Saccharomyces cerevisiae S288C: one gene and its partners. Each later gene encodes a partner of the first gene's protein in a complex. Each region holds a gene or a part of one and is shown in the gene's direction. Other genes may lie near its edges. The genes, in order: SGF73, UBP8 and SPT20.

The links.
Region 2: the proteins of SGF73 (region 1) and UBP8 are in contact, whole or in part, in a crystal structure (PDB 3MHH), measured with the Saccharomyces cerevisiae proteins. Residues at the interface, in NP_011449.1 of Saccharomyces cerevisiae: Gly24 (codon at 2,549), Ser25 (codon at 2,552), Gly26 (codon at 2,555), Pro27 (codon at 2,558), Ser28 (codon at 2,561), Asp30 (codon at 2,567), Ser31 (codon at 2,570), Trp32 (codon at 2,573), Lys33 (codon at 2,576), Leu35 (codon at 2,582), Met36 (codon at 2,585), Ser38 (codon at 2,591), Ala39 (codon at 2,594), Lys40 (codon at 2,597), Thr42 (codon at 2,603), Pro43 (codon at 2,606), Leu44 (codon at 2,609), Gln45 (codon at 2,612), Asp47 (codon at 2,618), His48 (codon at 2,621), Met49 (codon at 2,624), Asn50 (codon at 2,627), Ser53 (codon at 2,636), Leu54 (codon at 2,639), Lys55 (codon at 2,642), Lys56 (codon at 2,645), Tyr57 (codon at 2,648), Phe58 (codon at 2,651), Asn59 (codon at 2,654), Asn61 (codon at 2,660); in NP_013950.1 of Saccharomyces cerevisiae: Thr23 (codon at 1,715), Ala26 (codon at 1,724), Ala27 (codon at 1,727), Tyr29 (codon at 1,733), Ile30 (codon at 1,736), Asn32 (codon at 1,742), His33 (codon at 1,745), Ser34 (codon at 1,748), Val35 (codon at 1,751), Pro36 (codon at 1,754), Glu38 (codon at 1,760), Lys39 (codon at 1,763), Asn42 (codon at 1,772), Thr43 (codon at 1,775), Gly47 (codon at 1,787), Thr48 (codon at 1,790), His50 (codon at 1,796), Met59 (codon at 1,823), Cys60 (codon at 1,826), Leu61 (codon at 1,829), Gln62 (codon at 1,832), Cys63 (codon at 1,835), Gly64 (codon at 1,838), Phe65 (codon at 1,841), Cys66 (codon at 1,844), Asp107 (codon at 1,967), Asn110 (codon at 1,976), Asp111 (codon at 1,979), Leu114 (codon at 1,988), Tyr117 (codon at 1,997).
Region 3: the proteins of SGF73 (region 1) and SPT20 are in contact, whole or in part, in a cryo-EM structure (PDB 6T9K), measured with the Saccharomyces cerevisiae proteins. Residues at the interface, in NP_011449.1 of Saccharomyces cerevisiae: Lys386 (codon at 3,635), Tyr387 (codon at 3,638), Arg389 (codon at 3,644), Met390 (codon at 3,647), Arg391 (codon at 3,650), Met393 (codon at 3,656), Phe394 (codon at 3,659), Ala395 (codon at 3,662), Ser396 (codon at 3,665), Ser397 (codon at 3,668), Phe398 (codon at 3,671), Ser399 (codon at 3,674), Val400 (codon at 3,677), Lys401 (codon at 3,680), Arg415 (codon at 3,722), Lys428 (codon at 3,761), Val431 (codon at 3,770), Pro434 (codon at 3,779); in NP_014493.1 of Saccharomyces cerevisiae: Phe137 (codon at 2,334), Ile148 (codon at 2,367), Cys149 (codon at 2,370), Ala150 (codon at 2,373), Gly169 (codon at 2,430), Leu170 (codon at 2,433), Ile171 (codon at 2,436), Thr173 (codon at 2,442), Asn176 (codon at 2,451), Thr178 (codon at 2,457), Leu179 (codon at 2,460), Glu181 (codon at 2,466), Phe182 (codon at 2,469), Pro192 (codon at 2,499), Ala194 (codon at 2,505), Ile195 (codon at 2,508), Glu197 (codon at 2,514), Val198 (codon at 2,517), Arg200 (codon at 2,523), Asp201 (codon at 2,526), Cys202 (codon at 2,529), Asn203 (codon at 2,532), Ile204 (codon at 2,535), Tyr294 (codon at 2,805), Ser298 (codon at 2,817), Asp301 (codon at 2,826), Arg304 (codon at 2,835).

What each region holds. Positions count from the first base shown.
Region 1 is NC_001139.9:375,130-380,896, forward strand, and holds SGF73 (deubiquitination module subunit SGF73), read left to right. Parts: upstream 1-2,479; coding exon 2,480-4,453; downstream 4,454-5,767. Other genes in the region: mitochondrial 54S ribosomal protein bL12m MNP1, read left to right, coding at 1-542; NPY1 (NAD(+) diphosphatase), read left to right, coding at 972-2,126; ALG2 (GDP-Man:Man(1)GlcNAc(2)-PP-dolichol alpha-1,3-mannosyltransferase), read right to left, coding at 4,631-5,767. UniProt on the Saccharomyces cerevisiae protein: Component of the transcription coactivator SAGA complex. SAGA acts as a general cofactor required for essentially all RNA polymerase II transcription. At the promoters, SAGA is required for transcription pre-initiation complex (PIC) recruitment.
Region 2 is NC_001145.3:715,067-718,630, forward strand, and holds UBP8 (ubiquitin-specific protease UBP8), read left to right. Parts: upstream 1-1,648; coding exon 1,649-3,064; downstream 3,065-3,564. Other genes in the region: FMP42 (Fmp42p), read right to left, coding at 1-379; FSH2 (putative serine hydrolase), read right to left, coding at 572-1,243; MRE11 (MRX complex nuclease subunit), read right to left, coding at 3,509-3,564. UniProt on the Saccharomyces cerevisiae protein: Histone deubiquitinating enzyme component of the transcription coactivator SAGA complex. SAGA acts as a general cofactor required for essentially all RNA polymerase II transcription.
Region 3 is NC_001147.6:45,260-49,499, reverse strand, and holds SPT20 (Spt20p), read left to right. Parts: upstream 1-1,925; coding exon 1,926-3,740; downstream 3,741-4,240. Other genes in the region: DNA replication protein PSF3, read right to left, coding at 52-636; PEX11 (Pex11p), read left to right, coding at 857-1,567; DCP1 (Dcp1p), read right to left, coding at 3,867-4,240. UniProt on the Saccharomyces cerevisiae protein: Component of the transcription coactivator SAGA complex. SAGA acts as a general cofactor required for essentially all RNA polymerase II transcription. At the promoters, SAGA is required for transcription pre-initiation complex (PIC) recruitment.

The sequences.
Region 1 (5,767 bases):
TGAAAACGCGCGTTACACCAGCGCTAATTTCTCCTATTACTATCACAACCCGTTTCAATTCTACGACTACAACAGCACCATCACATAAGGATGATGTAAGGCCAGTTGATCCTAAAATTTCTAAAATTGTACAGGACATTTCACAATTGACTCTTTTGGAAACTTCCAGTTTAATCAACGAGCTGAAAACCGTATTGAACATTCCAGAAATTTCCATGCCTATGGGCGGATTCATGGCAGGCGCTGCAGGCGCAGGTGCTGGTAATGTACCTAGCTCCACTGGTGAAGCTGGTAGTGGTGCTGAAGAAGAAGCTAAGCCTGAGGCAAAGACCGTGTTTACGGTGAAGTTGGACTCGTTCGACACGAAGACTAAGGCTAAAGTCATCAAGGAAGTCAAGGGATTATTGGGGCTTTCATTAGTTGAAGCTAAGAAATTCGTTGAAGCTGCACCAAAGGTCTTGAAAGAAAATGTCGCCAAGGATGATGCTGAAAAGATTAAGAAAACCTTGGAAGACTTAGGAGCTAAGGTCAGTTTAGAATGATTTTAAAACTGTAGCAATCTACCAATCGTGTTAATCAAAATAGTCTGTTTTCTCTTCGAGAAAATAAGGAATATATCATGTAAATATGTTTAACTCTTTATTCTTCTTTCGTCCTGCCTTTTATATATTTTGCCACATCGCTTCTTGCAAGTAGATGTATAAAAATGATTGATTTCCTTATTATTTTCTATAGTATCTTCAACTTCATTATGGCATTCGTTTTCGTGTTATAAGTATTTCAGACGGGCTAATCTATCACTTCATAAATCTACTTTTCCAACTTACAAAAGCGGTTGCTTTTCTTCGAAATATAAAGCCCACCAACCATAAGAATAAAGAACAAGAGCAGGAGCGAAACGAAAGAGAAGATAAAGATTGTACCTTTTTGCTCCTGATTTTTTTTTGATTACGCTACGGTTAGTTGAGAGAATGTCCACTGCTGTGACTTTTTTTGGCCAGCATGTCTTGAACAGAGTTTCGTTCTTAAGATGTTCGAAAGAGTTCATCAAAAAATCATTGAACCATGACTCTACCGTTTTTATCCCATTTATCGAAGGGGAAGCCCTCATTTCGCCCGAAAATGGTGACCTAGTTCAGCTTTCTAATTCTGTAAAGTCTTACAAGAATATTTTGTCAGCAATAGTTCCTTTATACACTACTTTATTGAACACAACTCGCTCAAGAAGCGATGAATCAGGCATCAATGTAACATTTTTAGGTCTCCTGGAAGGCACAGATTCTGCATTTAATTTTGAATGGTCTAATATTTCTTACAAAGGAACACCATATTTTGGATTAGATATCCGTGTTACTGAGAGCACACTCTTCAAGAAAGTCGACTTTGAGCCTATTTTTTCCTATCCGAAGGTGACCAGAGATCACATTTTCAAACAAACAAATGAGGATGCTTCACTTTATTCACAAGGTAAGATGTATCTGGATTGGCTAGCAAAGTACAAATTCTGTCCCGGTTGTGGGTCTCCGTTATTCCCAGTAGAGGCAGGAACTAAGCTTCAGTGTTCTAATGAAAATCGGAATGTATACTGTAATGTGAGAGATGCAAGAATTAATAACGTTTGCTTCCCAAGAACTGATCCAACGGTCATTATAGCCTTGACCAATTCGGATTACTCTAAGTGTTGTCTGGCAAGATCAAAAAAAAGGTACGGTGATTTTGTATTGTATTCAACAATAGCAGGTTTTATGGAGCCATCAGAAACCATAGAGGAGGCTTGTATCAGAGAAATATGGGAGGAAACAGGCATTTCATGCAAAAATATTGATATAGTCCGGTCACAGCCCTGGCCTTACCCTTGCAGTTTGATGATTGGCTGTTTAGGCATAGTTCAATTCAATTCCAAAAATGAGGTTATCAACCTGAATCATGACGACGAATTATTGGATGCTCAATGGTTTGATACAACTGAAATCATTCAAGCTTTGGATAAGTACGCCGGCGGGTATCGTGTTCCATTCAAAAATGATATCAATTTACCTGGAAGTACTACCATTGCCTTCCAATTAATCAATCATGTTTGCGAGAACTATAAAAACTTACGTAAGACCTCATCGAGCCATCTATAGTTTTTAATATAATAAACATTGATAAATAGGCGTGCTTCAGCATATGGATATTTTTCACTCAGTTACCCGAAGAAAACAGAGGTGCGTCATAATGCAAATGCTAAATGAATGAATATAGGATGTTAGATTGCTGGTACAAGCAATTTTGAAACAAAAATCATTACGAACAGAAGAAAGTGGAGCTGAAGAGCGTATATAGTTGTTCATAGCTGTAAAATAATTTCTAAATTACTATTTAGAACCTTTTTGATATCCAGCATCGCTCATTAGAGATTAATTTACCAAAACGGAATAAACCAAAAAAATAAGAATAGTGAACACACAAGAGAAGCGCAAAAGAGTAAAGAGCTAAAATGAGGTCAGGCGATGCAGAGATTAAAGGAATTAAGCCCAAAGTTATTGAGGAATATTCTTTATCTCAGGGAAGTGGTCCTTCCAACGATTCATGGAAAAGTTTAATGTCGTCCGCGAAGGACACTCCTTTGCAGTATGATCACATGAATCGCGAAAGTCTAAAAAAATACTTCAATCCGAATGCACAACTCATTGAAGATCCTTTGGATAAACCGATTCAGTATAGAGTGTGCGAAAAATGTGGGAAACCCTTAGCTTTGACAGCAATTGTAGACCACTTAGAAAACCATTGTGCGGGAGCATCTGGAAAAAGTAGCACAGATCCAAGAGATGAGAGTACTAGGGAAACGATACGAAATGGAGTAGAATCAACTGGGAGAAATAATAACGACGATGACAATAGCAATGATAATAACAATGATGATGATGATGATGACGATAACGACGACAACGAAGATGATGATGACGCTGATGATGACGACGATAATTCCAATGGTGCCAATTACAAGAAGAATGACTCTTCTTTTAACCCTTTGAAAAGATCCACATCTATGGAATCTGCGAACACACCAAATATGGACACGAAAAGATCGAAAACTGGGACTCCTCAAACCTTCAGCTCTTCCATAAAAAAACAAAAGAAAGTCAAACAAAGAAACCCAACTGAAAAGCATTTAATTGATTTCAACAAACAGTGTGGTGTAGAGTTGCCGGAAGGTGGTTACTGTGCACGTTCGCTGACATGTAAGTCCCATTCAATGGGTGCAAAGAGGGCTGTCTCTGGTCGTTCCAAGCCCTACGACGTCTTGCTAGCAGATTATCATAGAGAACATCAAACAAAAATTGGTGCAGCTGCTGAGAAACGTGCTAAGCAACAAGAATTACAAAAATTACAAAAGCAGATACAAAAAGAGCAGAAAAAACATACTCAGCAACAGAAACAAGGTCAAAGGTCTAAGCAAAGAAATGTGAATGGTGGGAAATCAGCCAAAAATGGTGGTAAGAGTACTGTACACAATGGTAACAATATCAATGAGATAGGACACGTTAACCTAACTCCTGAAGAGGAAACAACACAGGTTCTAAATGGGGTATCCCGATCTTTCCCACTGCCACTAGAGTCAACGGTACTATCGTCAGTTAGATACAGGACTAAATATTTTAGAATGAGGGAAATGTTTGCTTCCTCCTTTTCTGTGAAACCAGGATATACATCTCCAGGTTACGGTGCGATCCATTCTCGTGTAGGATGCTTGGATTTGGATAGAACAACAGATTACAAATTTCGTGTTAGGACTCCACAGCCAATTAATCACCTCACAAACCAAAACCTCAATCCGAAACAAATACAAAGACTACAACAACAGAGAGCTCTACAGGCTCAGCTTCTTTCTCAACAACAGCAACAGCAGCAACAGCAGCAGCAACATCACTCACCCCAAGCGCAGGCCCAGGCCAGTACCCAACAACCTACTCAAGGTATGGTGCCCAATCATTTCCCCGGCGGGGCAACGAATTCATCATTTAATGCCAATGTGTCGAGCAAGCAAATTCAGCAGCAGCAGCAGCAGCAGCAGCACAAGTCTCAAGACACAGGTCTCACGCCGCTGGAGATACAATCACAACAACAAAAACTACGACAACAACAACTACAACAACAGAAGTTTGAAGCTGCTGCTTCATATTTAGCCAACGCTACCAAATTAATGCAAGAATCAAATCAAGATAGCCATTTATCTGGCACCCACAACAATAATAGTAGTAAAAACGGTAACAATAACCTCATGACGATGAAAGCCTCCATAAGCTCTCCCAATACTAGCGTAAATAGTATCCAATCTCCCCCTAGTGTCAACAGCGTCAATGGCTCCGGGCAAGGTGTATCTACCGGTATTAATGTCTCTGGCAATAACGGGAGAATTGAAGTAGGTATTGGAAATTCTGTGAACCCCTACAATGGCAGAATAAATTAATTGAATCATGCACGTTATCCAGCATGTTCACGAAGTGAGTAATAAAAAATTATTCGCCGAAGTAACATGTACACGTCTATGTTTGTGGACAAGTTACGCTATTTGCATTTAGAGATTTCTTCTCCAATGTAAATTATTTTTTCTTCGGGGGGTATACATTATTTATTTAAGTAGACATTATATTTCTTCATAAGGGTAGGAGAGAGCGAATACAAATGCCCAGTAAATTCCCCATAAGTAGTTCTTAAAATATAATACCATAAAAGTGGCCATAAATAGGAAGGGCCATGGATTATTGGGTAGAATTTTTATAAATGCCATATGCAAAATAAAATTAGAGAATGAAATACCGAATATTTCCCAAGGATAATACTTTTTTTCTTTCCATATGACTTTCTCGACGTTTTCTTCAAATGACTGAGTCATTGCTTCCCTAGAAAAGTATTTCTTGACTCTTAGCGGGCCATTCCTCTCAAAGTTCACAGAACCGTTCTGCAAGATCTTTCTGCTTTCATCAATTGCAGTAGCCCATTGAATAGGGACGGCAGGTTTTAGCCACCCAGTGGCAGAACTTTCATTTTCACCAGCAACGTAAGATTTGATAGTCTCCAAAGGACCTCCATTGTTTACTGCTAGTACAGGCTTACCTAATTTCATGGCTTCTAAAGGAACAATACCAAAGTGCTCATATGCTGGTGTATACAATAACATTTCGGTTCTTTCGAGCAGTAATTCTTTCAGAGATGATGAAATGGAAGTTAAAAATATAATTTTACTATTATTGGTTTTGAATGACTCTAAATCGGAGACGCGCTTTATTTCTTGGTAGTATATGGTTGTATGGGATAATTCGTATTCATCGGCCAGAGACTGTAGTTCCTTCAAGTACTCCACATTTTCTGCAACCCTCTCGTCATAACCACCGCAAATAACTAACTTAACGTTGTCATTGATTTGATCTTCAGATAACGCAAAAGCCTTTATAGCCAGCGCAACATCCTTTTTTTTCTCAAAACGATTTATACTTAGGTAAAATCTATCGCCTTCGTTAAACACTGTTTTGAAAAATTTCTTGTCAATATCTTCAATTTCGATTGTTGATAAATCCACGCATGGATAAATGACGTCTGGATCATTGGATAAATACTTGAACGTTTGGTGGAACGTATTCTTAGTGAAATTTGAATTTACCACAACAGTATCGGCAGCACTCACGGAAAACTGTTCTATTAAGTCAAATGGTAGTCTGTATATTTTCTTCAATAGCCCAGCTCTTTGAGCCAATAATTGGTCGGGGAAATGACAATAAAACAT
Region 2 (3,564 bases), on another chromosome or scaffold:
GCGTGTAACCGACAAGATATGGGTCCCAAAGAGACACTAGATGCTTGGCAGAAATAAAATTACCGCTTGCTAGGAACAAGAGACATGATCCTATTATTCCGCAGACACGAGGTCCATACATATCCAAAATCTTACCGACAGGAAGGGCCATGATGTTTGTTACAGTAGCACTGAGAGCAAATATAAAATTTAATTTCAGATCCTGTGCAGTACATAATAATCTATCACCATCCTTAGGATCACACAATTCATGGTATACACCTTCTGAAATTAAAATAGGTTTCAAAGCAGCAAATCCAAAGATAATACCAGCTGAAAAAAGACACCAGATACAAGCACAGGCAACCTGTGCGTATCTCAACGTTCTTGTACTGGTCATTACAGTCTTTACTGCCCTAATACTGGCCTAACGAGGAATAAAATCATTTATAGATGCCATTGTTATCGTTATCATAATGAAGCATCGTATCGGTAGTTAAGTTAATTTGACGTATTATTACCCGGAGGATTTAATCATGTATAAATATGTATGTGAAGATTATGTGAAGATTACGTGCTATATATACTTGCCTCAGGTCAACTGCTGGAGCCATTGAGCCACTTTTCTCACAAACCCTCTTGAGTTCGGCACAAAGTGGCCCCCAGAGTGCATTAGTAAAGTGCGAGAGTCTTCCGTACAAGAGTTATATAGGCCTTGCACTTTGGCCGGCTCTGTGATAGTGTCAAGTTCTCCTTGAACATGTAGAGATGGGACCGATATTGGATGCAGGTCGTACTGTTCTTGATACTGTTGTGGTTGGAACCTGAAACCACTGACCGCCATGAAAAATTCTAGCGGCGGCTGTTCTTCTGTTGTAAGGCCCAACAAACCATTGAAATCCGTTGCTAGGTATCCAGCTACACCGGCTCCTTGACTAAATCCTACAATACCTGCAAATGGACCATTTTCAAGGACATAATTGTGTAAATAGTCGATTGTCGTCTGCGGTATGAAATAGCCACCGGTGGAAGGGTCATTCTCTAGCCACGCAAGCACACCGGTATTCTCACCATCCCCAGGTGCATCAGCAATTACCTCACCCAAGAAATCAGGAACATCAGCTGGGGGAAATTCATTGGGTGCTGTTGGATAGTAGAGTTTATATCCTAACTTTTCCATTTCGGCGCGAAACCCCTTTGTCTTAGAGGCAAAGTAGTCACCTGACTGCGCAAGCCCATGTAACATCAATACATTCTTCGTCATGGTTACAGCTATTAAATCTTATAGTCTTGTAGTATTGCACATTCTTTCTTCACTTATACCTTTTTTTTCTTCTCTATTCTTCCTTTTTTTGCTTTTCTTTGAATTTTTCAAGTGAAAAAAAATCCTCGATTATAGTGTGTAAAAAGCATCAATAATTTATATTGTATATGGGCTAGAAAGCTGTCGTAATAGCAAAGGGATTATATTAGTGGACCTGATTAATTCTAAAAAGATATTTTACGGATAATAATAAAGGTTTTCTTTTGAGACCAGTTAGTCCATTTCTTTCAACTGGCTGTCATAATTTTGAATACTATTTATTGATCGGATCAAAAGGGAAAACTACAGCTTCGGTCCTCGTCGTCCTACTTGAAACCCTGCTTTTTTTATTTGTTATTAATAATTATGAGCATTTGTCCACATATACAGCAAGTATTTCAGAATGAAAAGTCTAAAGATGGGGTTCTAAAAACGTGCAATGCTGCCAGGTATATATTAAATCATTCCGTACCCAAGGAAAAATTCTTAAACACCATGAAATGTGGTACATGCCACGAAATAAACTCTGGTGCAACTTTCATGTGTCTACAATGTGGATTTTGTGGATGTTGGAACCATTCGCATTTTCTCTCTCACAGTAAACAGATTGGTCACATATTTGGTATCAACTCAAATAATGGCCTTTTATTTTGCTTCAAATGTGAGGACTATATAGGGAATATCGATCTGATTAACGATGCTATCCTAGCGAAGTATTGGGACGACGTGTGCACAAAGACCATGGTTCCTAGCATGGAAAGAAGAGATGGGCTTTCTGGCCTGATCAACATGGGATCCACTTGTTTCATGAGTAGTATTCTCCAATGTCTAATCCATAACCCTTACTTTATTAGGCACTCAATGAGTCAAATTCATTCTAATAATTGTAAAGTGCGTTCTCCAGATAAATGTTTTTCATGTGCACTCGATAAAATTGTTCATGAACTTTATGGAGCGCTGAATACAAAGCAAGCTTCTTCGTCATCTACATCTACTAATCGGCAAACCGGATTCATATATCTTTTAACTTGTGCCTGGAAAATCAATCAAAATCTAGCAGGGTATTCACAACAAGATGCTCATGAATTTTGGCAGTTTATAATTAACCAAATCCACCAAAGCTATGTTCTTGATTTGCCAAATGCCAAGGAAGTCAGCAGAGCAAATAATAAGCAGTGTGAATGCATAGTGCATACTGTGTTTGAGGGCTCCTTGGAAAGTTCTATTGTGTGTCCAGGCTGTCAAAATAATTCAAAGACAACCATTGATCCATTCTTGGATCTTTCTCTGGATATCAAGGATAAGAAAAAACTTTATGAATGTCTTGACAGTTTCCATAAAAAAGAACAGTTGAAGGATTTCAACTATCATTGTGGGGAGTGTAACAGCACTCAAGATGCAATAAAGCAACTAGGCATACACAAATTACCATCGGTTTTGGTTTTGCAATTGAAAAGATTCGAACACCTACTTAATGGAAGTAACAGAAAACTAGACGATTTTATTGAATTTCCAACTTATTTAAATATGAAAAATTACTGTTCAACGAAGGAAAAAGATAAGCATTCTGAAAATGGCAAGGTTCCAGACATTATTTACGAATTAATCGGTATTGTTTCCCACAAGGGGACGGTTAATGAGGGACATTATATTGCATTTTGTAAAATTTCTGGAGGGCAATGGTTTAAATTCAATGATTCCATGGTCTCCTCTATATCTCAAGAAGAGGTTTTAAAGGAACAGGCATATTTATTATTCTACACCATTCGTCAAGTAAATTGATTCAGCAAATAGCATTCAACAATAATAATAAAACAAAAAAGAAGAAAAAGCTATGCATATTCCTATCACAGTTAACGCTTGCTTCCGTTCTTTTTTCTATATCATCGTTTCCATCATGTTTTTCTTTAAATTGAATACTTTCCTATGCTCTTAATGAGTTGCGATTGTGCATATACTGTATTTCAAAATCCTTTGTATCTAACTAAGGAAGAAAATTACTATGACGTTTATTCAGGATTTTTTTTTTTCATTCCTTGCTATACGAACAAAAGAGCAAAGGCTGGAAAACTAAGTGAGTTTATATATAGTAATAATTAAAGAACATATCATTATCATGAATTTAGAATGCAAATTTGCTCCTCTCAAAATGGCATACCTTGTTGTTCGCGAAGGCAAGCCCTTGGTTATAAATAGGATATAATATAATATAGGGATCAAGTACAACTATTTTCTTTTCTTAGCAAGGAGACTTCCAAGAATATCCGTCTTTGGCGTCCTTG
Region 3 (4,240 bases), on another chromosome or scaffold:
CCTTTTTTTTATAGTTATTTTATATAGTGTATTTCTAAAGAAAAAGATGTGTTATTTTTTAAACATCCACCTTTTCGTGTCCTTATAAGATTCATGAGACTTTTTATATATCTCCTTCTCCATTTCTTCTAGTTTCAGTAAAAATGTGCTAGTTGCTATATTAGTGTTCGCTGAATTTTTTCCGGTCGAGTCTGCATTGAGATCAATCGATAAACTACTAGCATGATGATTAAGTTCTTGGGCACGTTGCAAAAGTAGCTCACTAACGACATTGGCCAGTTCTTTTTCGCTAAACAACATTATCCATTTTATGGCTAGACTGAAGAAATGCGAATTTATGGAATGCAAGTCCAGAGCCACCGGATCGGTCTTTATAGCGTTCATAACTTTCGTAGAAAACATATCTGGTGGCAGGAGTTCCACAAAAGGTACAGGTTCTTCATCTACCAAGGCTTCGTCACCACCCACAATTGCAAGGATTCTTGCTAACCATAGTGGCAGGCTTAGTTTAGTGTTTTTCGTTATGGGTCGTCCTGGGTTGTTTTCCAAATAACCAAGACCAGGAATATCATATTGAAATTTACAAGGAAACTCTGTCCCATCTGCTAGGACATCATCAATGTCATAGTAACCCATCCTTTCTATGCTTGCCCTTCTATTGTAAAAATATAATACCAAGAACAAAGTTGGCATCAATTCCATTGCGATTTTCACTACGCGTCGGCATTTATCTCGGAGAACCCGAAGCGATGGGTATATCATTTATAGATATAAAAGGGAAGTGACTCCAACAACTGAAAAACCGTTGTCTCCATCTACTACTTCAAAGACTTCATCAAGTAATAGTATAATCAATATGGTCTGTGATACACTGGTATATCATCCCTCCGTGACGAGATTCGTCAAATTTCTAGATGGCTCAGCTGGCAGAGAAAAGGTTCTCAGATTACTGCAGTATTTAGCAAGATTTTTAGCAGTACAGAACTCATCTCTCTTGGCCAGGCAATTACAAGCTCAATTTACCACAGTCAGAAAATTTCTGAGGTTTCTGAAGCCTTTAAACCACTTGCAGGCAGCTGCTAAATTCTACGATAACAAGTTGGCCAGCGACAACGTCGTTAGAGTCTGCAATGTTTTGAAAAACATCTTCTTTGCTGCATATTTGTCGTTAGATCAAGTCAATCTTTTGAGAATTTTGAAAGTGATTCCTGTAACCGTTCTTACCGGTAAGAAAATACCTCGCTGGTCCAATTGGTGTTGGCTGTTCGGCCTCCTAAGTGGTCTGGCTATGGATCTTCGTAAGATCCAAACATCTCATGCCCAGATTGCTGCGTTTGTCAAGGCAAAATCACAAAGCCAAGGCGATGAGCATGAGGATCACAAGAAGGTACTAGGGAAGGCATACCAAGACAGGTACACCGCGTTAAGAAGACTATTCTGGGATGCTGCAGATTCGTTCATCGTCCTCAACAACCTAGGGTACTTGTCTAGCAACGAAGAGTATGTTGCGCTATCCGGTGTTGTCACATCTATCCTTGGTATGCAAGACATGTGGAAAGCTACATAGCTTTCTTTTCATCTTTTTTTTTTATTTGGCTATTCTCCGCTTATGTTTGATTCGACCCTTCTTTATAATTTATTTCTTATGTATATGACCCAATGTTCCATGTCCATACCTGTATAAGATTCTGAGTGACAATAGTTCTTGTTATCCGCACCATTAATAACTAACTAACTATCTTTAAAGTAAAACTGGGATCGCTATAACTGCTTAGTTCTGTTACCCGCTCGTGATACCTGACGACCATTAATCATGAAGAAGTGTTAAGATGATCGACCAGCAGAGATAAAAGAATGAGAAAAGTAGCCTTCAAGAGGATTAGGAAGGAATAGTTACGGTTAATTTGCGCCTATATATTTCAGGGATGAGTGCCAATAGCCCGACAGGAAACGATCCCCATGTATTTGGTATTCCTGTGAACGCAACACCATCCAATATGGGTTCGCCAGGCAGTCCAGTTAATGTACCACCTCCTATGAACCCAGCGGTAGCAAATGTAAATCATCCTGTTATGAGGACAAACAGTAATAGTAATGCCAATGAAGGTACTAGGACTTTAACCAGGGAGCAAATACAGCAATTGCAGCAAAGACAACGATTATTACTACAGCAAAGACTACTCGAACAACAGAGAAAACAGCAAGCACTCCAAAACTATGAGGCTCAGTTTTATCAAATGCTTATGACCTTAAACAAAAGACCTAAAAGACTTTACAATTTTGTGGAAGATGCAGACTCAATTTTGAAAAAATATGAGCAATATTTACACAGTTTTGAATTTCATATTTATGAGAATAATTATAAGATTTGCGCTCCTGCAAATAGCAGGTTACAACAGCAGCAAAAGCAACCCGAGCTGACTAGTGACGGTTTAATATTAACCAAAAATAACGAAACTTTGAAAGAATTTTTAGAGTACGTCGCAAGAGGAAGGATTCCTGATGCTATTATGGAAGTCTTAAGGGACTGTAATATCCAATTTTACGAAGGAAATCTTATTTTACAGGTTTATGACCATACTAATACAGTTGATGTCACCCCCAAAGAGAACAAGCCTAATTTGAACAGCTCTTCTTCCCCTTCAAATAATAATAGCACACAGGACAATTCCAAGATTCAACAACCATCCGAACCTAATAGTGGTGTGGCAAATACAGGCGCAAACACAGCAAATAAGAAGGCATCCTTCAAACGACCTAGAGTATATCGAACATTGTTGAAGCCTAATGATTTGACGACGTATTATGACATGATGTCTTATGCAGATAATGCCAGGTTTTCTGATAGCATTTATCAACAGTTTGAATCTGAAATTTTAACACTTACCAAGAGGAACTTGTCACTAAGTGTGCCATTAAATCCATATGAGCACCGAGACATGTTGGAGGAAACAGCTTTTTCAGAACCTCATTGGGATAGTGAAAAAAAATCCTTCATTCACGAACATCGTGCTGAGTCTACGAGAGAAGGCACGAAGGGCGTTGTAGGGCATATCGAAGAACGCGATGAATTTCCGCAACATAGTTCAAATTATGAACAGTTGATGTTGATCATGAATGAACGCACAACAACGATAACCAACTCCACGTTTGCTGTTTCGTTAACCAAGAATGCGATGGAGATTGCTAGCTCCAGTTCCAACGGGGTACGTGGAGCTTCGTCCTCAACTTCGAATTCCGCATCAAATACAAGGAATAACAGTTTGGCTAATGGCAATCAAGTAGCTTTGGCAGCGGCAGCGGCTGCGGCTGCAGTGGGATCTACCATGGGTAACGATAATAATCAATTTAGCAGGCTGAAATTTATTGAACAATGGAGAATAAATAAAGAAAAAAGAAAACAGCAGGCTTTAAGTGCAAACATCAATCCAACCCCCTTCAACGCTAGAATATCGATGACAGCACCATTGACTCCACAGCAACAGCTACTTCAAAGACAACAGCAGGCCTTGGAGCAACAACAGAATGGTGGAGCCATGAAAAACGCAAATAAACGGAGTGGTAACAATGCCACCAGTAACAATAATAATAATAATAATAATTTAGATAAACCAAAGGTTAAGCGACCTAGAAAAAATGCAAAAAAAAGCGAGAGCGGTACACCAGCTCCTAAAAAGAAAAGAATGACTAAGAAGAAACAGAGCGCAAGTAGCACGCCCTCTTCTACTACAATGTCATAATCTACTTAAATAGAGTTATCATTCCTTATATATATATATATATATATATATATATATATATATATATTGTATTAAAGTACATCATTATTTAAAAAAAATTCTCACTTGGGCATCTCACCTCTGTGCTCAAGCAAAAGAATCTTTTGGCTCATTTTCCAGAAGATATTTTATTAGTTCGTAGATATTTTGTCTATCACTAACTGTATGAATCCATATACCATAGACCTCATGCTTCAAGTTCTTAATAATGACCAATTCATCTTTCACCTCTACCCCCATGCACTCTAGTGGGTTAAGTGTATCCTCTTCTGCATTAAATACTTTTCTTTTATTTACGACACTATTGGGAACAATGCCCATAGAAAAATTGTCAGGATTAATTCGGTTTAATATGATCAATCCATAATTGTATATGTCCTTTCCACTTAAAGTTTTGCCGCAATTATATGTTAGCGAATCATTACTTTTATAAGAGTTCCCATTTCCACTGCTATTCCTGT